2 linked regions of the Notamacropus eugenii genome follow. The protein of the gene in region 1 interacts with the protein of each later gene in a biochemical or structural test. Links are inferred from orthologs where the notes say so. Each region holds a gene or a part of one and is shown on either strand. Other genes may lie near its edges. The genes, in order: MBL2 and CALR.

The links.
Region 2: the proteins of MBL2 (region 1) and CALR form a complex in vitro, tested with the Homo sapiens proteins (2 studies listed by BioGRID and IntAct). The link is inferred for Notamacropus eugenii from reciprocal best matches to the Homo sapiens genes MBL2 and CALR.

The regions. Positions count from the first base shown.
Region 1 is NC_092872.1:227,506,261-227,517,523, reverse strand, and holds the start of MBL2 (mannose-binding protein C), read left to right. Parts: upstream 1-7,178; 5' UTR 7,179-7,284; intron 7,285-7,427; exon of another isoform or gene 7,428-7,654; intron 7,655-8,288; 5' UTR 8,289-8,297; coding exon 8,298-8,478; intron 8,479-10,493; coding exon 10,494-10,610; intron 10,611-11,263. UniProt on the Homo sapiens protein: Calcium-dependent lectin involved in innate immune defense. Binds mannose, fucose and N-acetylglucosamine on different microorganisms and activates the lectin complement pathway.
Region 2 is NC_092875.1:77,930,668-77,941,617, reverse strand, and holds CALR (calreticulin), read left to right. Parts: upstream 1-6,379; 5' UTR 6,380-6,547; coding exon 6,548-6,635; intron 6,636-7,678; coding exon 7,679-7,780; intron 7,781-8,070; coding exon 8,071-8,274; intron 8,275-8,500; coding exon 8,501-8,595; intron 8,596-8,682; coding exon 8,683-8,892; intron 8,893-9,037; coding exon 9,038-9,151; intron 9,152-9,254; coding exon 9,255-9,398; intron 9,399-9,488; coding exon 9,489-9,581; intron 9,582-9,772; coding exon 9,773-9,964; 3' UTR 9,965-10,617; downstream 10,618-10,950. Other genes in the region: FARSA (phenylalanine--tRNA ligase alpha subunit), read right to left, coding at 22-159, 1,303-1,449. UniProt on the Homo sapiens protein: Calcium-binding chaperone that promotes folding, oligomeric assembly and quality control in the endoplasmic reticulum (ER) via the calreticulin/calnexin cycle.

The sequences.
Region 1 (11,263 bases):
CTTAAAGGGGCAGTCTGCAGAACCCTGTCTGAGAAAATCAATAGAAGTGGATGTTCCCCCTTCTGAAGCAAAAGACCTCCAAAGATCCCTCTGCACTCAGTCCCTTCATACATGTAAGTCTAGGGAAAAAAATGACCATAGAACAAATAAGGAACTCAACCAAAGTTCCAGATGTCCATTTTGATGTATGTGCTCAAGGATTGGCCAGATCCTTGAGCACATACACATCATCTGTTAAGGAATTTTATGACTCTTAAGATAAGAGGTTGTTTCACCCAGGCTACATGGTTCTTAGTTCTTCCAATATTTATGTTCTATTTCCTTTGGCACTCCTGGTTATGCATATTGACTTAGAGTTACATTCCTTATGTCAGGTCATGTGGCAGTCATGCAAAGGGCTGGGGAAAATCTCTTCAGTTTTCCTTACACCAACAAAAATCATATGATCATCTCAAAAGACACAGAAAAAGCCTTTGACAAAATAGAAAGCCCATTCTTATAAAAAAACACTAGACTTACATTAAAATTATATGTAGCATTAATCTAAAACCATCAGCAAGCAATATCTGTAATGGGGATCAGCTTGAAGCCTTCCCAATATAATCAGTATGGAAGCAAGGATGCCCATTATCACCACTATTATACTATTATACTATACTATATATATTATACTATTATCCAGTATAGTACTAGAAAGGTTAGCTATAGAAATAAGAGAAGAAAAAAAATGGAAAGAATTAGAATCGGCAATGAGGAAACAAAACTATCACTCTTTGCAGATGATATAATGGTATACTTAGAGAATCAATCAGAACAAGACTTGAAATAACTAAATTAAGCAAAGTTGCAGGATAGAAAATAAACCCACATAAATCATCAGCATTTCTATATGTTACCAACAAAGTCCAGCAGCAAGAGACAGAAAGAGAAAATACATTTAAAATAACTGTAAACAACATAAAATACTTGGGAGTCTACCCATCAAAACCAGCCCAGGAACTATATGAACACAATTACAAAATACTTTCACACTGTTGACCTGAAAACTTGGTTAAAGAAAAGGCAACAGGCTAAATGCATACATTTTATGATTTAATTAATTAATTAATCAATTCCCTATTAAAGACAACGGTAACATAATGCATTATGGAGCCAGAAATGTTCTGGCTACCGACACAAAGAACTGGGCAGCCTTAAGTATGTTTTAGGACAAAGAAGTGTTCTGTGTCCCTTAGATTTATGATCTCCATAAGTGACTAACTAGACCATTAGAAAGGAATTTCTTAATTGCATAGGCTGTAAATACAATAAGATAACAGAGTTTGACAAAGTTTCACATAGAAATTACGACCCAAGATGTCTGTGTTTTCTTTACCATTAACATGCCATAACATAGTATATGTCTACAAATATTAAAATATGGAAAATGTCCCATTATTCAAGATAGTGTCTTAGGTTAAAGATCTCTTGAGGAATGTTAAGTCAGCCCTGGCAGGCTTTTGTTGACATAGGAAGCGGCATTCTCTGAGTTTGCTTCAGAGAGAACAAAGAGATTATTCCAAAATTTTATATTAAACATTATCAGCACAAATAAAGTCAAATCTAAGCATTTTTTTTTCAATTGAGGAAGTATGAGAGAGATGGGGATTAAGGATGGGATAGTTAAAAAAGAAAAAAAGAGTGCCACTGAAGATTTTTAAGTGCATAGAAGAGAAGAGAACAGAATGAAGGCCCAGAAAGAATTATAGATAAGAAGGAAAACTTTAAAAGTCACATGCTGAATGTGTGAACATATGCATGTCTATATATGTGTGACATACACGTATATAGACATGCATACATGTATATGCTTGTTTATGTATATTTAAAGCAAATTCTACATAAAAAAATCTTCTTTTCCAGTTCAATACGTATATGGAAATGCCCATTCTATTTGTTAAGTTTATAATAAAAATAAATTTTAAGTGATAAGTTTGATCATTTTCGTTTCTGTGATAAATTCAAAGGTCCAAGGCTGGAAGTTAAAAGGGTATGAGAGGAGATAATGGTTGGTTCACGTCATACTAAACATCCTAAAAAGAGGATCCCACTTTGATCCTAGCCTTTGCTTTCATAGTCATGATCTAGCTAGTGTGGTTATGTAAGAGGGAAAGGTAAGCTTTTCCAACTATATAACTTTCCTGAAATCCAGGATCTTTCATAGAGAAAGACTCCTCATGGCACAAAGGACCAAAAAGTCTAAAAAGATACTCGATGGCTGCCTATTTTGGAAAATTATGACTGATGGAGGAAGAGAAACTTACATTCCTATAGAAGCAAAGGACACCTGTCTCTTACCCAAGGCATCCTGATCAAGAACTTGTAGAAATGTTTGCTGACTATCTATTGATCAGTGACCTTTCATTCCCTGTGCCTTCTTTCTTTCCCAGAAAATAGGCTATTTGGATAGCATGGAAACAGGCTTTTACTGTGCATTTTCTCAGCCTTCCTTGCTTCCTTCCTTCCTTTTCCTCTCTAGCTAGGTAGTACAATAGATAGAATACCAAACCTGGAATCAGGAACACCTGAGTTGAAATCTGGCCTCAGACACTTAGAAACTGTGTGACTTTGGGAAAGTCACTTAACATCTCTCTGCCTCAGATTCTTCCTCTGTATAATGGGGGTAATAATATCACCTACTTCATAGATTGTTGTGAGAGTCAGATTTAATAATATTTTAAAATGATTAGCACAGTGCCTATAATAATCCCATTCTAGGTCGAATTTAGCTCATACCATAGTGACTCCTGCCCATAGTGTCCTCTACTGCAGAGCATTATTAACATTGGACAGATTTAGTAAGATTCGGGCTATGACTAAGCTCAAGAGAGAATCAGATTTGGCTTCAGCATCAAATAGAACTGATTTCAAGTTGTACTGCTAATAAATATTGGCTGTGGAGAGGTGATGAATTCAAGGCAGAGATCAAAGTATATAAATGTATGTATGGGTATATGTATTTATATATGTTTATGCATGTATGTATGTGTATACACACATACACATATGTGTGTATACACACATATATATCTTTTTAGAATGATCAGTGGAGGAAATTCTTTCACTATTGTATTTGCTAGAAGGATTTTATTCTGTTGGAGTTGTCTTTTAATGAGGAGGAGGAAGGTAGAATGGAGAAAAATGTATTTTTGTAAATTGAAAAGATAAAATTTAATTTTAAAAATATACAACAAACTATCTGTATGATACTGAGTAGTTCAAATCTCAAATTTTTAATACTATTAGTTGCATGGAAAATACCTATCTGCAGTTATAGAGGGAATGCCTCACCAGGATCTCCCTACACAGTTCTGGTGGGGAAAAAAAACACAGGATGAAACTGTTGTAGAGGAGAACCATCGATACACCTGTATGCAACAAATCCAAGAGCCTCTTGGGAGACCACCAGAGGGAGCACTTGACTTGAAGGAGAGATGAGAGAAACAGGACTTATTTTTTTATTTTGTTGCTCAGTTAAGAGCCTTTCAATTAAAGAAACCATAGAATGCTGTTATAGATATAAAAATGTATAGGATGGAGAAGAGGAAGGGAGGAAAGAATGTCTTATCTTTAAAGGTCAACTTCTTTCTGGTATTGAAATACAATCAGTTTTAAGTTCTTCCTATAGAGAAGAAGTTAAACTTCTTATGAAAGGTTGCTCAATGAAATATGGACATATATGAATCAATGAGTAAAAAGTCATTTATTTAGCACTTACTATGTGCCAAGCACAATGCAATGTGCTGGAAATACAAAAATGGAATGTGAAGACCTTTAAGGTTCTTATAATCTAATGAAGGAGGCAACACACAAAGAGTAGTGAACAGAGAGGAATGCTTTGGTCCAGAAATTTTTAAGGATGATGAATAGACTGAGGTCACAGGGGAATAAATCGGCACATCCAACACAAGAACACTAGAACAGTTGATATGATCATGTTTAATAGTTACACATCTTTGAGGGAGGAGGGGAGAAAGAAAAGGAAAACTGTAGGGAAGGACAGAAGGAGGGAAGGTAGCAGGCAAGTCTATGGAGGAGACAGAGTTGGGAGTGAATTAAAGAATGGCTGGTGCTTTTCCTGAACTAGTGGTCCAGGAGGGGAAGAAGAAAGAAAAAGATAACCATAGTCTGAAAGAATGATGGTATCTGAATTCCCCAAAGCAGGCTACCACTTTCCTTCCTCAGCTCTATAGGGAACACAGTTCCTTTGGTCATGTATGTAGGTTTTAAAGAGAGACCATGTAGAGTTCAACCCCTTTATTTAATAATGAAGAAATTGAGACTCAGTGATGTTAAGTGATTTACCCAGGGTCACACAAATAATAAATAGCAGAGGTAAGTTTTGAACCAAAGTCATTTGACTTCAGTCTTTGAAAGATCCCAAAGTGTCTATAGTCATATGAAAACATACTTTAAGCCACTACTGACTGGAGAAATACAAATTAAAACAATTCTGAGGTACTACCTCATATCTATTAGATTGACTATCAGGACAGAAAAGGTAAATGACAAATGTTGGAGGGACATTAATGTATTGTTGGTGGAGTTGTGACCTGATTCAAATATTTCATAGAGCAATTTGGAAATATGCCCAAAGGGCTATAAAACCATGCATACCCTTTGACCTAGCAATACCACTACTAGGTCTGTAGATCAAAAAAGATTTTAAAAACAGGGAAAATCACCTATATGCACACAATATTCATGGCACCTCTCTTCTGGGACTAAAGAATTAAAAGTCAAGAAAAAGCCCATCAGTTGGGGAATGCCTGAACAAGTTGTAGTAGGTGATTACAATGGAATACTTTTGTACTATAAGAAATGATAACCAGGATGCTCTCTGAAAAATCTGGAAAGACTTGCATGAGTTGATGCAAAGTAAAATGCATGGTGTACAAAGTAATAGCAATATTGTAAGATAATCAGCTGTGAATGACTTAGCTATTCTCAGAATACAGCAATCCAGGACAACTCTGAAGGACTGATGATGAAAAATGCTATCCATCCCCAGAGAAAGAACTGATAATGTCTGAATACAGATTGAAGTATACTTTTTAACTTTATTTTTCTTGAGTTTTTTGTGTATGTTTTCTTTCACAACGTGACTATTATGGATATGTTTTGCCTATATTCGATTGCTTGCCTTTTCTATGAGTGGGAAAGGAAGGGAAAGAATTTGGAACTCAAAGTTTTTTTAAAAGTTGTAAAACAAAAGTTTTAAACTCATAGTTTTAAAAACAAATGTTAAAAAAATTTGATGCAACTGGGGAAAAATAAAATAATAAATAAAAGCTAAATATATGTGTGTGTGGTATAATGAAAGATGATCGTATCCCAGAATTTGAATGGGGTTTTTAGACCAAAGCTTAACAAATAGGAATGAGAGGCTTCAGGCCAGACATACACCTAACAAGAACTCACTCGATTTGGCTAGGGTATTGAGAGTCTATTCAAAGGAGAGAGGTATTCCACCTGTGATCTCATTGGTATAGGGAACTCCCAGGTGATGAAATTCCTTCTATCAGTGCAGGTCAGCACCTTATTTGTAATTTAGGGTCTTGGAGAATTGCTTAGAGTCCATGCTCTAGTTAAGTGACTTGTCCAGAGTCGCATAGCCAGTTATGTATCAGAGGCCGGATTTGATTTTGGGTCTGCTTGACTTTGAGGCTAGTTCTCTGTCCACTATACCATGTTACTTCTTTTAAGTCTAATCTAAAGGGCTGTAAACTGAAAAGAGGGAAATAAAAACTGGTTGATATTCACCAGTGTAGATACTGTAGAAAATAGCTACCTCATAAGAAGAAAAGAGGCAGTCAAAACACCTAGAAGTTTAGAAGTCAAAATCCAAGAAAAGATCCTGTCCTAAAAGTCACAGTTCACGTTATGTATAACAATAAGCTCCAAAGGGTTATATGACTTAAAATATGAATATAAAAGGTTATATTGTAAACCAGAGAAGAAAGAGGAAAGAAATATATACCTTTCAAAACCATGAATAGAAGGAAGAATTCTTAATTAAACAAGGATTAGAGGTGATCATAAAAGATTAAAAATAGACATTTGTTGTTCCTTAAAACTGAGAACTTGCACCAAAAAAAGTTTTGATTATTCAAGTTAGAATTATTAAGGAAACAGCTCACTGGGTGGAATCTTTGGAGCAAATTTCTCAAAAAAAGTTGTCTTGTTTTATTTTGATGGGCTATACTTACTGTTTACAAGAAAGGGCTTTGGTAGTACATAGAGAAGTGGGGCGGTGGGGGCAGTGATAAAAAATATAAGAAAAGAAAGAAAAGTCCATCAATGAAGCCCTAAAAATAAACATAGAAGAGAGAAAGATACATAGGTTAATAGGGATAATAGCTTAATAGCAGGAAGTTTTGTTGTTATTGTGTTAAATTTAATATATACTTTGAAAACATACGTAACAGTTCACAGTTTCCTACACCATCCTCTTTTTTGTTCTTTGTACATAGAAATGTTCATGTTCCTTTATGGTTTGTTAAATTCACAATTTAACATTAACAACCTAGGGTTGGAGCCCCCAGGTTTGGGCATAGCATTTTCTCTTTTTTGCACTAAGGGACCCCTATGGACCTGTGCACATGGTCCAAACAGCATCAGCCTTGGAAAACCCTGCCTCTAATGAGAGAAGTTAGAATCCCATTTCTCATACTCTTTGGTTCATTTTGTACCCCACTCTAGCATTTAAAGTTTTTAGTTTTGGCTCAGATTCATCTCATCTAGGGTCTCCCCAAAGGTGGAAATAGGAATCAGGTATGGGATAGTTATTTATTTGTTACACAAAAAAGACTGTCATGTGGAAGCTTAGACTGATCCCAGAGAGAAGAGTTAGGAAAAGTTTACTAATAGTATGTTACTAAAAAATGCAATGGACTGTCTTGGGCAATAAAGGACTTCCCTTCATTGAAGGTCTTCATGAAAAGCTAACTAACCACTTTTCAAGTATGTTGTTGAGGGAACTCATTTTTAGGTATGTGTTGCAGGCTCTGAAATTCTGTCTCTGTGATTCTGTCTCAATCTGTCATTATCCATTGGGAGCAATGAGAATAACAGCTGGATATTTGATTCAGTTGCTTATTAATCTGTGGAAGCAAAACAAGGACAGACCTCTACCATGTAAACAGAGTGATTCTTTATATCTTGTTGAATCCAGCCTCTTCCCGTCTTCTCTGGGTTAAACTAGAGGACACTCTGTTCTGTTATCTCTTTCCTGTTGTATGTCAGGTAAGTTTCTGATCAGAAATACAGCCTGTGGAACTGGGGTCAAAGATCTGTATGTTTAACTTGATTCCAGGAAAGGGACTTTCCAATAGATTTTCAGGCAATGTTTCAATCAACTAGAGTTATGATTAAAGGTCTTTCTATTTTGATATTCCTCATCTCCTTTTAGGTCCCTTGGTTCCTTTGGAAGTATGGCATTCTTTAGAAATAGGCCAGATCTGGTTCAGGCAAAATAAAAAGGGACATAGAATTATTTGGTCTCCTACTGAAGGGTTAGCAACTTTCCCACCCTCACCCTGTGGACTTCCTGGCAAGGACAAACAAGATTTACAAAACTTTTTGCAGGTTTGAACCATAGGTGGGAATGAACAAAGTAAGAAAAAGGGAGAAGAGATGGAAAGGAAGAAAGGAAGGGAGGGATGGAGGGAGGAAGGGAGGGAAGGAAGGAAGGGAGGGAGGAAGGGAGGAAGAGAGGGACAGAGGAAGGGAAGGAGAGAGGGAAGGATTTTGTATATCAAGATTTTTAAAATTTTATTTTATTATTAATTTTGTATGTCCAGTCCTGTGCTAGGCACTATAGAGGATCCTAGGAAATAGAGGGCATGTAGAAGAAAGCAGTCAGACTAATCTGGGCAGTGAGGGTAATGAGTATACATCATATGGGTTGGAAAGGCAAGAGATGTGTCTGTCTTTAATGGAGAGTTCTCATTCAGACAGAATGGGAAAGAAGTCAGGATAATTAGGGTGGGGACTCCCTTGTATAATGATTTCCAAATCAGTTTGGATTGATTAATCTTGAAGACAATGGGGAGTCAATAAAACACAATAAAACAAGAGACTGACAGGATCCAAAGCAGTGAAACTGGCTGTTTTGGAGGGAAAAGAGACAGCTGGTGGCAGCACCACCAGGAGGAGACAATAGCAAGAAGGATAAGAGTGAGGCTGGTTGAAAATCCCTGCCATTTTTCTTTCTAAATCAATTGACCTCAAGTTTCTACCCTTCCAAGGTTTGAAGAATGATTGACTTTTCCTGGTTCCCACTCCTCCTCATCATCATGGCTGTCTACTCAGAGCCAATTTTGAGTGAGACGACCGAGCAGACCTGCTGCTCCGTGGTCTCTTGTGGTACCCCTGGGGCAAATGGGGCTCCTGGAAAAGATGGAAGAGATGGGCTCAAGGGAGAAAAAGGAGAACCAGGTACATGCTAATTGGGATCCTTCTCCCTGAGTCTTCATTTCCACCAGGTGATCCCATGTGATGGTTGCCTCTTCTAAGAGTTCAGACTCAACATATGAGGTCATATTTATCAGTGATGTTGAATTGTTTCTCTAGATTCAATCTCTGTCCAAAAACTTTTCCTCTAACAAGAGAGTGAGATGATCAGAGAAGTTCTATTTATCTAGCTCTGGTAATCTGACACCCCAGTTTCCAAGAAGTCAAAGGAAGGATTATGTTGGCGCTTTATCAAAATAGGCAGTATATGGGGCCATTTTCAAAAGCTGTCTCTTGAGAATCTCTCAGTCCACCCCACTTTGGGGAAACCCATGGAATACTGCTTGCTTAGTTTGATTTAAAGTAAACACTAAATACTGGGAAGAAAGTCTGGGAACTCTTTCATGAGATCACCTGTTTGTTTTATATCCTCCTAAGGTGTCCACATATAGATCACAGTGAAATATTTTTTGCTCATTTCACTCCATTTTGCACAGAAGCAGAGGACTATGAGTTCAGGGACTGCATACCCATCTGTATAAGTGGTTTTGCTTACAGTGGTATACTCATTAATTGGGTAATTACATTTCCTGGCATATGATGTCTTAAGACTTTTATGTCTTTCAAAAATATTTAATGTGTAAGATGTCCTCCATTTCTTGTGAGTCTTTGTTACATGTAATTTAGCATTGAGTTCATCTGTATAATCTTGAATTCTTAATTCATGAAAACATACTTATGAATTAGATATAAATTGTAAAATAATCATTTTTTTTAAATCTAGCCTCGATTATAGCCTACAGATTCTTGCTAGGTCTTAAATTAAACAAGTTCTTGGGAACTGAAGCATATTTCTCTCCAGTTTCTGAATAAATTTCTTAGCTTTTCATGACCTGTGGCATGACACAAGTTTGCATTGCTATTGAGGAATTCCTGTAATATCAAAGCAATTCTATTTGCTAGTATGTCAATAGAATTATCAGAGTTTATTATTTTCTTCAGTTGGGACAAAACTTCTAGGCTTACTGAATGTAAAATAATCCCTCAAGTATTTTTGGAAGTGAATGTTTTACAGTCTGATGAAGATGGCCAGATCTTGCAAGCTTATCTGGACTTCTGAAAATGATTTGGAATTAAAAGACCTTGAATGAAAAAATAAGTTCATTAGTAAAAAATTAACATTTTCTAATCTTTAGTACATTAGTCTTTATATGGTTTTGCTCATGAAAAGCATTTTTTACTGACAGTAAGAGTTAGCAACTGATTTTCACTGTTCTTCCAACTTTAAAAAAAGTCTACACCATACTATAGAAAGATTGAAAACAATCCTTTTAGTCAAGAGATTCCTACAAAGCTTTTTACTTATTTTCTGAGGAATAATCAAGTTATTTTACAGCAACATTTTGTCAGCTGTTAGCATTATTTTTCATTTGGACTTCACTACCATTTGTGCTTTGTTGAGACTGCTCTTATTTCTTGTGGATTTGAAAAATGCTTGAAATGCATGACTTTCCCATACCCCTGTCATCAATACTTTTAATAGTTATTGAAGTGTGATCCTTGACAGCTACACTTTTTACAAGTTTCCATGAAGGAATAGCCCTTCTTTAAAAATTCTACAGAATTAAAAACACAAGAGAATAATGAAAGATGTATGTCCCAGATCCACTATTCAGCTAACAAAAATCAAAGTGGAGAAATCAGCTTACCTTGTGTCCATTTGGTCAAGGTAAAACTTAGTCTGGTGTCATTAGAAGCACACACATATGATTATTTCTGTCACAAAATAGAATCATTTTTTAAAAGGCTTTGCTTGTCCCACGTAATTGGAACCACAACTTTCTTTGTTTCAAGAAAGGGATCTTGGTAGGTAATAGGGAGGTTGAATGGGTATATATGGGAAAGACCACATATAAAACAAAAACTAACAATAAAATTCAGTTTTTCAAATATTTTTAAAACACTGAATACAAAGATAAGTTTTTATTGCCTAATAATAGGTCAAGGACTCAGAGGTATCCAGGGTCCTCCAGGGAAAATGGGACCTCCAGGGCACCCAGGGCCACAAGGATTTCCAGGACCAGCAGGCATGAAAGGAGATACAGGAGACAGCTCAGGTAAGGCTCTATCTTCTTTGTACTGGCCCTAGCCAGGAGGAGGCCATTTAGGGATTTAGGGCTCAGATCCAGTAAGCAGATGATCCCTCTTCCAAATATCCTATTAGCAGTACAGTCCAATGTCCCCTTCTATTGGTAAAGCCTCCTCTATGACCCAACACTTTTCCCCTTTCCTACCCCTGTTTCATTGCAGAAGAAACTGTGTGTGTATAACACCGCATATAGTATTAGACTTTTTAAAATACAGTGTTTAATTTGGCTGACCTTTTTTCCCTTTTTCTGCATTTTATTTATTATTCTACGCTACAAGTGATGCTTCTTTGGGAAAGACAGGCAGGAGGGATACATTAGAAAATGTAAGAAATTTTAAAACAAAAGTTATCCATAAAAAAATTTTTAAAGATCAGAGTCCAAAGTAGGTCTCAGTTTTCAGCAGTTATAGAAATATCCTACACAAGCATACACACATGCATATACATCAATGCATGTACATATTCTTCCTAACACATTTTTCATGATTTAGCTGGACATCCTGTCTCAGCTTTCATCTGGAAATAGAGTTGAGTAATTATTCCTGAAAACAATCAAATAGCAGATGATTGGAGGGGTTGATCCCATTCAAGTAATTTTCCTGTAGCTGTTGGGGTATCAAG
Region 2 (10,950 bases), on another chromosome or scaffold:
GCCTTCTGAGTCAGTTAGTACCATGAGTTCACTCTGCACCAGACCCTCAGGAGGGAGGCTGTGGAAGACTCTAGCCTCATGGCTGCCATCCTGGGCTGTCTCTTGGCCCTCAGGTGTAAGCTCCCATCGCTGGGCAGAACGGAGTTCAGTTTCAATGACCTAGACCCAGAAAAAATATGGTTGTCAGGTCCAAGTCTTCCTGCTTAGGTCCATTTCCTCAGTCTTTGCATTCTGCATCTTCTATCCCAGGTCACCTCCTCCTGCCCCATTTCCAGGACAAAACTACTGCTCTCCATACCCCACCTCCCAGTCTTCTCCTTTCCCTGCCTTCCCCAATACACACACTTCTCCTACACTCAGGCACAGCTCCTGCAGTCCCATCCCTGGCTCTCCTCCCCTAAGAGCAGCCCCTCCTCCTGCCCCATCCCTGGCCCTCACCCCTAAGTGCAGCCCCTCCTCCTGCCCCATCCCTGGCCCTCACCCCTAAGTGCAGCCCCTCCTCCTGCCCCATCCCTGGCCCTCACCCCTAAGTGCAGCCCCTCCTCCTGCCCCATCCCTGGCCCTCACCCCTAAGTGCAGCCCCTCCTCCTGCCCCATCCCTGGCCCTCACCCCTAAGTGCAGCCCCTCCTCCTGCCCCATCCCTGGCCCTCCACCCCTAAGTGCAGCCCCTCCTCCTGCCCCATCCCTGGCCCTCACCCCTAAGTGCAGCCCCTCCTCCTGCCCCATCCCTGGCCCTCACCCCTAAGTGCAGCCCCTCCTCCTGCCCCATCCCTGGCCCTCACCCCTAAGTGCAGCCCCTCCTCCTGCCCCATCCCTGGCCCTCCACCCCTAAGTGCAGCCCCTCCTCCTGCCCCATCCCTGGCCCTCACCCCTAAGTGCAGCCCCTCCTCCTGCCCCATCCCTGGCCCTCCACCCCTAAGTGCAGCCCCTCCTTCTTCCCCATCCCTGGCCCTCACCCCTAAGTGCAGCCCCTCCTCCTGCCCCATCCCTGGCCCTCCACCCCTAAGTGCAGCCCCTCCTTCTTCCCCATCCCTGGCCCTCACCCCTAAGTGCAGCCCCTCCTCCTGCCCCATCCCTGGCCCTCCACCCCTAAGTGCAGCCCCTCCTCCTGCCCCATCCCTGGCCCTCACCCCTAAGTGCAGCCCCTCCTCCTGCCCCGTCCCTGGCCCTCCACCCCTAAGTACATCCCCTCTTCCTGCCCCATCCCCGGCTCCATGCCCAGGACGCGGCTGCTCCTTCTGCCTGGTCCCCTGCCCGGTTGCATCAGCCGACCCAAACTGGCAGACTCCGCACCGCCTTACCTCCCCCAGCGCCTGCAGGCTTTTGACAGCGCCCACCACGACCTGGTGCTCCAAGCCCAGAGCGCTCGCCAGCTCCAGGCTGTCCAGGCCGCCATCGCCGCACTCCAGCCGCTGCAAAAGCAACTGAGCAACGGACCCGTCAGCCATGTCTGCGCCGTGAGGATGAGGAGAAACGCACCGGAACCGGAAGCGCGGCCGCCCGGAAGAGCGGGGCCCGCCACCTTGGGTGTGGCGTGAGCCAAGTCTTCGGCACGGGCCGCCATCTTGGGTGAGGCAGATGCGCTAAAGCTGGGCTAGGACGAAGAAGGGGAAAGGAGTAGGGCAGGGTCGGAGGGGCGGCGGAGTCAGAGTGGAAGACCCGCCGAGAGGGGACGGGCAGCCCTTCCTCGCTGGGCCCCAGCCCCGACTTCCTGGGTCGTGCCGAGCCCCACGGCCGCCAAAGCCCTCGCTGACCTTCTCCAACCTGGGACCCTACAGGGTAACTCACGAATTCCCAGGCCAAGGAGCCGGCGCCTCTGGGCCAGGAGAAGGCAGGGGTGACTGCCAGGGCCTCACAGCTAGGGCGGGCCTGACCCGGACCGCACCGCGGGCCCGGGCCCCGACCCCGGCCCCGGCCCCCAGGCCCCGCTCAGAATAGGCCGGCAGAGAGCCTCACCTAGGCCTGGGCCTGTGCAAGCCCCCGGAACCCCAGGGCAGCGGCGATGCCACAAAAAAAACCAAGCCGGGCCTGGCCCGGGGCAGGCGGGGGGCCTGACACCTATGGCCGCCTAGCTTGCCTCCCTCCGTGTGACCTCTGAATGCCCAGGGGCCCTAAGGTCCTCTCCCGCTCCCCATACCTTCAATAAAATAATCCCTTTCCTACCCTCGTCCCAAAGTCCTTGTGCTTTGTAAACTTTGAAACGCTACAGAAATGAGGATGGTTGTTTTCATGGAATTTCTCTGAATTCTGATGCTTTGAGGGATTTTTGTTACAACCGGGACAGTTCTAGCTTTGGGGATATGTGCATTGGAAATTAGACTTTAGTAAAGAATTTTGAAAGAAACTGATTGAGCTGCTAGCTGTAAAGATGGCAAAAGAAGAAAGGGAGGCTTTGGAACCCAAGGCTGAATGAACCAAAAAAGAGTGCCATGAAATGGTTTGCATCATTTGAGTGATTTTTTTCCCCCGTATTGAAACGAGGGATCCAATTACTCCGAGATTTTTAAAAGTTCAAAGACTAGTTGAGGATGGTATGGCTTGCCATCATCCCATGTAGAGCACTGTCTAAACATCTCTTGATAGTTTCATTAAAAAAGTTGCTCAAACTTTTGGTTAACTTGATTGAATAGTACTGTGCATATTTTATCATTAATGTTCCCTTTCATTTTATAATTCTGTTTATTATCATGGTATAATGTCTAATATATCAGCATTTTAGTATAACATCTAATATATCTGCATTTTAGTATAGTTTGTGACATGTAAAGCATTATTTTGCATATACCTAACTGAATTGGGTAGGTAGGGACAAATTGACATTATATAAAAATCGATTTACATAAGAAGTCTGTCAAAGAGTCCACTTATCTAAAGCAAGAACTGTCTGTACTGACTACCTACTGTGTGCCTGGACCTGTGTTTGGTACCTGGTGGGTTAAGGGGAGGAGAGAATTATGGCTGTTAAGGCATTTTGAAGTTTCTGAAATACTTTTCCACTATGATCACTAAGCTGGAAGGGGCCTCGGAGGCCATGGAATCCGACCCTCTTGTTTTATAGATGAAAAACTAAGGTCTTTGTAATTTCACTTAAAAACCATATTAGTGATGTTGGGTTAGCAGGATTCAAAGGTTATTTATGGTCAGGGCCTTGCACATTGTATGCATTTGTATAATTTGTGTTGAATTGAGTTGAATTTGAAGGATGGGGAAATAGCCACAGAGAGAAAGGAGTCAATTGACAAGGTCTTACAGCATAGCTAAGACCAGAACTGAGTTTTGCTCATGCTCAAACTTGGCTCTTTTTATTATAAACACCCCCTTTCCATTTCTCCCCCATATTGTTGGGGAGACAGGACCTATACTCATAGAGAGTTAACAAGACCTTCTAGTCCTTATTATCTTAATATTTACAATCATAACAACTTACATTTCTATAATACTTTAAGTCTGCCATGCACTTTTCCTTAGAACAACTCTGGGATGTAGTTAGTGCAGTTATTAACATCTGGATGAGGAATGCTCAGTTTATGACCAGTAAGGAACTAGAGACCCAGACTAAAGATGACTAAACAAAAATAGCATAGGTAGAGCTAGTATTAGAGCTCTGCTCCTCTGACAACACTGCCTTTGGGTGGACTCAACTTGAGTCTCTGGGAAGGTCTAATAAGAGTTCTCATACCTCTTGCTTTGAAGCTCCACCAGGGCCTTCTAGGTCCTTGGGTGTGGCCTTTTGACTGAGTCCAAGTTTTACAGAACAAATCCTTTTATTAAGGGAATTTGTTTTGTGAAGTTTGGATTCAGTCAAAGTGCCCCACCTGAGGACCTAGAGGGTCACATGTGACCTTGAGGTGGAAGGTTCCCCATCCCTGCTCCACTCATCCTCTCACACCTACCCTGTGGAACCAGCCAGTCATGTTAGAATACAGTTGGAAGGAAGAGGCCCTCAGGCCCTGGAGCTATCCCTCCCCCAACCTAGTGACCTTTTTGGTTTTTTTGCTTTTATCTAAAAGATCCTGCCACTCACTAGTCCAAACCACTGTTTTCTCTTTTCCTTATCTTTAAGAACTCGATTCAGTTCTCCTCACCTAGTCCTGGTCAGGAACTGACTCTTGGACTTACCTGATCATCTGTTCTTTCTTGTCCCATGGCCACTCTTCCTCTTGAACTAATGAGTTTTTTCCCCAAATTGTTCCCTCTCTTATAGTTTACTGTAAATTATTGTAATTTATCCTGGCACAACCTCTTGATGTTGAGTGTGAATTTCTCCGCCTCACCTCGAAGCTTCCAACCCCAGACTGAATTCTCAGAGGCAGCATGGTACAGTAGAACACTACATTTGGATTCAGAAAACTTAGCTAGATAACAAATCCTGGACCTGTTACCTGTGTAACATTGGACAGTTCATTTGTCCTTGTCAGCCTTAGTTTCCTCATTTATAAAATGGATAAATTGAACTAAGGTGCCTTCCAACATTAAATCCTAAAAAAACTGGAGTACCATCCTGAATGCTTTAACCCAGGAGAGCACACTGTCACTGTCGTATTGTCTGAGGCTGAGCTCAGAAGTCTGATTGCCAGCCTTAAGTTCTGACAAACCTCCAAGAGACTATATGTCTTAGAGGAACAGGTATGGCTGGCACTGGGCCTCTTTTCTTCTTCCTATTTACTGGATGTAGGGATTGTTTCATTCTTCCTGATTCCCCAGTGCCTACCAAGCTGTAGACAATTAATAAATATTGATTGGTTGATTCCTGAGGGCTCAGCTCTGAACTTGAGGAAAGGAATTATAGCTGTTGCCAGAAGGGGTCCCTTATGACAGTTGAGTCTCTTTCATTCCCCTCCCAGACCTTATCTTGCCAACACACTCTGCCACTTTTTCCTTCTCTGGCTCCCCAGCCCCCAACTCAACCAGGCCAATCCGTTTGGGTTACAAAACCTCAGCAGTTTGTACAGTTTGGGTACAAAACCACAGTGCCCATTTGCCCCTATCCCCTCAAGTACAAAGGCTGGTTGCATAAGGATAGAGGAGCCACACAGAGGATTCCTCGGTTAGCCCCGAGGCAGGCTTCTGGTAGCTGAAGAAGGAGCCAAGACCTAAAAGTGTTACTACATCAAAACTTGGAGAAAGCGGCTCAAATTACAATGAGATGATCACTACTCAAAAATATTGTGGAGAGTATTGTTCAGATATGTATTGGATTAGGTCACCTCTGAACTCTAATCCTACTCTAGGAGTCTGTGACAGCAGCTAATCCGAACCTTCATTTTACATATGAGGAAATTAAGTTCCAAAGAGGACAGGGAGTTGCCCAAGGTCACAAGGCTCTAAGTACACCTGGGATAGAACTAGCATGGTCATAGAGTCAGGGATTTTCCAATCCAGACAATTTTTGTTTCAATTTCACCTTGTTACTTTCTGTGTGGTGGTCTTGAAACAAGTGCTTTGCTTCCTGTATATATTTCCTTATACGAAAAATGAGATTCCTTCCATTTGAACTGAGGTCATCTGACTCTGTCTGAAATTCTATGCACCCTACTAAGTTTTGTCCTGTCCTGCCACAGTCACATTAGACAATCACTCCTCAGACTCTTCCCAAGAATCAATCTTCACACTGAGAGCCTGGTGTAAATTCTAGTTAAACCTGAGTCTGAAAGCCAAATGACAGGACCGAGGTCACCCAGGTGGGGCTTGACCTCATACTTCTGAGCAGCACCCTTGTGGTCAGTTATGGTGGTTCTGTCCCTTTGTCCACCCAGGATCTGACCTGGCACCGTTTACGCTTGTGGGTGGATGAAACCTTTGGGGCTTGCAGCAGGGCTGGGGACGGTGCTTCCAGCTTGGGAGGTTGAGATAGGACCCCAAGGGTCATGTGGATGCTGCTACAGGGAAGGTCCCTGGGGAAGTACTGCTGGCCAGCGGGGTTGAAGACTGAGGCTGGGACCCCACGGGGGAGGCGGGGGAAAGGGGGGGTCCTGGCACAAGGAGGGCATCTTTCCTGAGCCGAAGGATTGCTGGAAGCTCCGGAGAGGGGCCTGGGGTTGGGGGAGTCGGGAGTTATCCACTTCTCTTAGGCCCCGACCTTTAAGAAACGGTGAATAAGGGGAGTAAACTGCAGACAGGAGATTTGGGGGGAAAGGGTGGGAAGAGTCTGGCCAGCTTATCACGTGATTCGAACCGGGTCCCTGCTTCCCTCCCCCTTCTGGAAGTGCTGTAGGCGTCCCCCCCACAACGCGTGGTCGTTCCTCATTGGCTCGTGGCTACGGCCAATAGAAAGCGGCCATCTGGGAACCCAGCGTTCCGAGGTGCAGCCTAAAGTGCTGCGCCGGCTCGGGGCCAATCGGGAGGGGCCTTGCGGGTCCCGCAGCCAATGGACATGCTGAGGGGGCGGGAACACGGGCTGGGCGGTGTTGGTTTGAGGGGGGCCGGGTATAAAGGCGGTCGGTGGTCGGCGGCGGCTGTCCCTACTGCAGAGCCGGAGTAGTGCTGTCGTCTGCGGATTCTGTGTCCGTACCCGATCCCCGCCGCCCCTACCTGACCCTTCCCGTCATGCTGCCTCTCCTGCTTCTGGGCCTGCTAGGCCTGGCGGAGGCCGCTGAGCCTGTGGTCTATTTCAAGGAGCAGTTCCTCGACGGAGGTAAACGAGGGGCGCCCGGGCCTGCGGTCCCGCCCCGTCCGGGGCTCCCCGGGCCCTCCCGAGCGCCTAGCCCGCCTAGAGTGCCTCCTGCTGGGGTGGGGGGACGTTGGAGGGGCCGCGCGCACCCGCTCCAGCCGCTGCTGTCCCGGGGGGAGGGGAGGGGGTCGTGCCCGGGTCCCTCTTGTCATCCTAGCGGCGTGGGAGGCGCTACGGCCGCCGGGAGTCCGCTCCCCTTGGGACAGCGCTGCCTCCCCGGTGTGGTGGCTACAGCCCTCCCCGGGGGCCCCTCTTCCTCCATTAGCCTCAAGGGTGTCCAACATTGGGTCCCCGGGACCTTTGTCCCTCCTGCAGCCGACCACGGGCTTGCCCTCTCCCTCGACCCTTTCCCCAGCCTGTTCTAAGCCTGATACTTGGGGGTGGGGGAGGGGAAATGAGGGGCAGAGAGGGTCCACTGGGCAGAGACCCCCGGGGCCCGGTCTGAAGCTTGGAACCTTTCACCCTCTCTTTGCTTCTGATATCGTCAGTGCCCCCGGAAACCTGGGGTGGAGGTGAGGGGGCGGGGTTGGTTCCTGGAGAGTTAAAACATGCCCTTATGAATGCATAAAGCGAGGTGCCAGGCAAATCACTTAATTTCTGAGTCTTTGCTTTCATTCACTGTAAAATGAAGAGGCTGGACCAGAAGGCCCCCGGGTGGCATTTCAGCCCTAAATCCTGCCTCCGTGCTTTGCTGACCTTGTATAAACCCTTTTCTTTTTTGGGAGAGGGTCAATTTCCCCATTCACAAAACGAAAGGGTTTAGATTGGGTGTCCTTTAAAAGGTCCTTTTCCATCTCGAACATTTTGGTAGCCCGAGACTGTGTTGTTTAGTTGGAGATGGTTTCTGGAGGGGCCTTTCCTTAGCAGCTGGTACCTAGAATGAGTGAGTCCCTTGGAAAGCTAGGTTTTGATGGACAGGGATAGAAAGATGATCACAGACTCTTCTCACATGTTGTACTTCCCCAGTGTTGGGGAACATGAGGACACTAACCCCCTTCTCTCCTCAGAGGGTTGGGAAGATCGTTGGGTGGAATCCAAGCACAAGAGTGACTATGGCAAGTTTAGGCTCTCGTCCGGGAAGTTCTACGGTGATGAAGAGAAGGACAAAGGTGAGGGGCTGCCTCCTGCCAGAGATGTGATATTGGAGAAGTACTTTTCATTTAGGCCTCGATTTCCTCATCCATAAAGAGGGAAAGGGTTAGGTTTAAATCTCCCTACCAACTCTGAAATTTCCTCTGATTCCATTGAGGCTGTATCCATGCAAGGGGGTTGGTCAGGATTGAATTGGACCTGGGACAGAAGACTCAGTGTGAGTGGCTGCTGGTAGGGAAGAACCGTGAGTGATGAGGCAGGATACCCCTTACTTACCTTGGGGACAACTTTCTCACCATGCCTGTAGGGCTGCAGACAAGCCAGGATGCCCGCTTCTATGCTCTGTCCTCACGCATGGAGCCCTTCAGCAACAAGGGCCAGACGCTGGTGGTGCAGTTCACTGTGAAACATGAGCAGAACATTGACTGTGGTGGTGGTTATGTGAAGCTGTTCCCTGCTAGCCTAGACCAGGCTAGCATGCATGGAGACTCAGAGTACAACATCATGTTTGGTAAGTGTCCATAGGACTGGCTGTTGTCCCTTCCTTCTGTGGTTCTGGGAGTCCCTAAAATGAGAGTCTGAGATTGACCATCTCATCAGTGGGAAACTAAGGATTGAGGAAGGAAGGTGACTTGACCCTAGGGTCCTTCCTTCCCACTTGCCCTTCATAGTGGCTTTGGGGAACTGGGAGACAGGAGTCCTGGATTCTTTGATCAGTTTCCCCATTCCTTCTTCAGGCCCTGACATATGCGGCCCAGGAACCAAGAAGGTTCATGTTATCTTTAACTACAAAGGCAAGAACATGCTGATCAATAAGGACATTCGATGCAAGGTAAACTACCTAACAGATGGTGAGGCAGAGGGAAGGGTCCAAGACCTGTGAGACCTTGGTTCCTTCATAACTGTTGTCCTCCCATAGGATGATGAGTTCACCCACCTGTACACCCTGATTGTTCGGCCAGACAACACATATGAAGTGAAGATAGACAATGTTCAAGTAGAATCAGGCTCGATGGAAGATGACTGGGACTTCCTGCCTCCGAAGAAAATCAAAGATCCTGAGGCCAAGAAGCCTGAGGACTGGGATGAGCGAGCCAAGATTGATGACCCCACAGACACAAAGCCAGATGTAGGTTGCTTGCATTTGGGAATTCTTCATGGCTAATCCCTGTCCAGTGACCATCCATCCTTTCCCATTCCCCTTTCCCCCAACCCCCCAACTGGGAGAAAAAGGGTTTCTAGAGGTCTGATTACATTTACTTATTGATCCCAAGGACTGGGAGAAACCTGAACACATTCCTGACCCTGATGCTCAGAAGCCTGAGGACTGGGATGAAGAGATGGATGGGGAGTGGGAGCCACCAGTGATCCAGAACCCTGAGTACAAGGTGAGGCTTCCCAGCCAGTTGCCAGATGGGGTCTGGGGAGTATGAGGACAATGGGATGGCAGCCCATGTTTGACCTTTCCAATTTTCCCAATCTCCTCTCTAGGGTGAATGGAAGCCCCGACAGATTGACAATCCTGACTACAAGGGCAAGTGGTTGCATCCTGAAATTGACAATCCTGAGTACACACCTGACCCCAACCTTTACGCATATGACAGCTTTGGTGTGTTGGGCCTGGACCTGTGGCAGGTGAGGAGAATGGTACTCTGCTTTGCACTCTGCAGGGGGTAAAGTGGAGAGTCCTGGCCCCACCTCTCTCACCTTTTTCTCTGTTTGTAGGTGAAATCTGGTACCATCTTTGATAACTTCCTTGTCACCAATGATGAGTCCTATGCAGAAGAGTTTGGTGAAGAGACCTGGGGGGCCACAAAGGTAACTCCTCCTTCCTTGCAAGGGGTGAGGAAAGACCAGGATTCCTGGGAGGACCCTGTCTCCTAGAGGGGGCCCTTTTCCTGGCCTCCTACTCCAGCCCATCCCTCCTTTCAGATACCAGAGTCTGGGGGTCAGGGATGGGCCTGGGGTGGGAGAACAGGCTCTGAGGTGGGGGTGTGTGCATCTGGCAGGAGGCTGAGAAGAAGATGAAGGAACAGCAGGATGAGGCAGAACGGCAGCGTGAGGAGGAAGAGGAAAAGAAGCTGAAGGAGGAAGAAGAGGCCGGAGAGGACAAAGATGAGGAGGACAGGGAGGATGAAGAAGAGGACGAGAAGGACGATGAGGAAGATGAGGATGGTGCCCAGCCCAAGGATGAGCTGTAGGGGCCAGGACTGAGGCTGGAAGCACCCTGGGGGGCCAGGCCAGGAGCCAACTAATGTCTCTATGAGACTGGAGAACTGTTTCCAATAGGTGGGGTTGTTTGGGGCTGGGTGGGTTTTTGTTTTTGTTGTTTTTTAAACTGGTGTCGGTTTCATCCACTCTCCCTCAGGTCCCTCTGCCCTCAAGAGCCTCTTGGGAATGGCAGATAGTGGGGGGCACCCTTCAGCCATGGGCTCAGGGGCATGGGGATCCAAGGTGTCACTCTGCATGGATGCTCAGCCTCCCTGTTGACTACCCAGGGATAGAGACTTCCGATACTAAGCTGCCTCCTTTCCCCAACTGGCCTCAAGTCCTGGCTCCTCTGTTTTTACCCCATCCTCAGGAGCCAGAGAGGAGGAGGAGGGGGGTCAGTCAGCCTGGCCCTGCCCTTAGGTATCCCATAGCACTGAGGGGGGCTAGGGTTTGGCCAACAGTGCCTAAGCCAAACTCTTTGCTCCCTTTTTTCCCCTCTGCCTGGGCTGAGGGCAGGGGTGGGGGCAGAGCCCCTGTTGTGGGGGGGAGGGTTAGGGAGGGGTTGTCAGTTCTTGCTTGGTCACATTGAGAATGTAAGAACAACAAAAAAAGAAATTTCTATTAAATTAAGTTTTGTGTCTCCCTCATGTGTTTGATTTCTTGGAGAGGGGAGCAGTGTAAGCTTCTCAGTTTTCTGAACTGCTGCCCAGCCCTAAGCTAGTGGGGTGGAACAGATAGATCCCTGGGGTTCTGGTCAGTGTGAAGTGTCTGTCTAGTGGCTGCTCTGGCCAGAGAAGATGGCCTCTGTGCCTCTGGTCAGCTTCTTTTCCCCACCTGTGCTGTAGGGCTCAGAGTTCCAAACAACAGGAGAGATCCTGGTCCATGGCCTCTCTCCAGGAGCCAAAAGACTGGATTATGAAGGAAAGCTTTTTGGGAGGACCTGTTAACAGTAACTATTCAGTTTTGAGTTTATAAG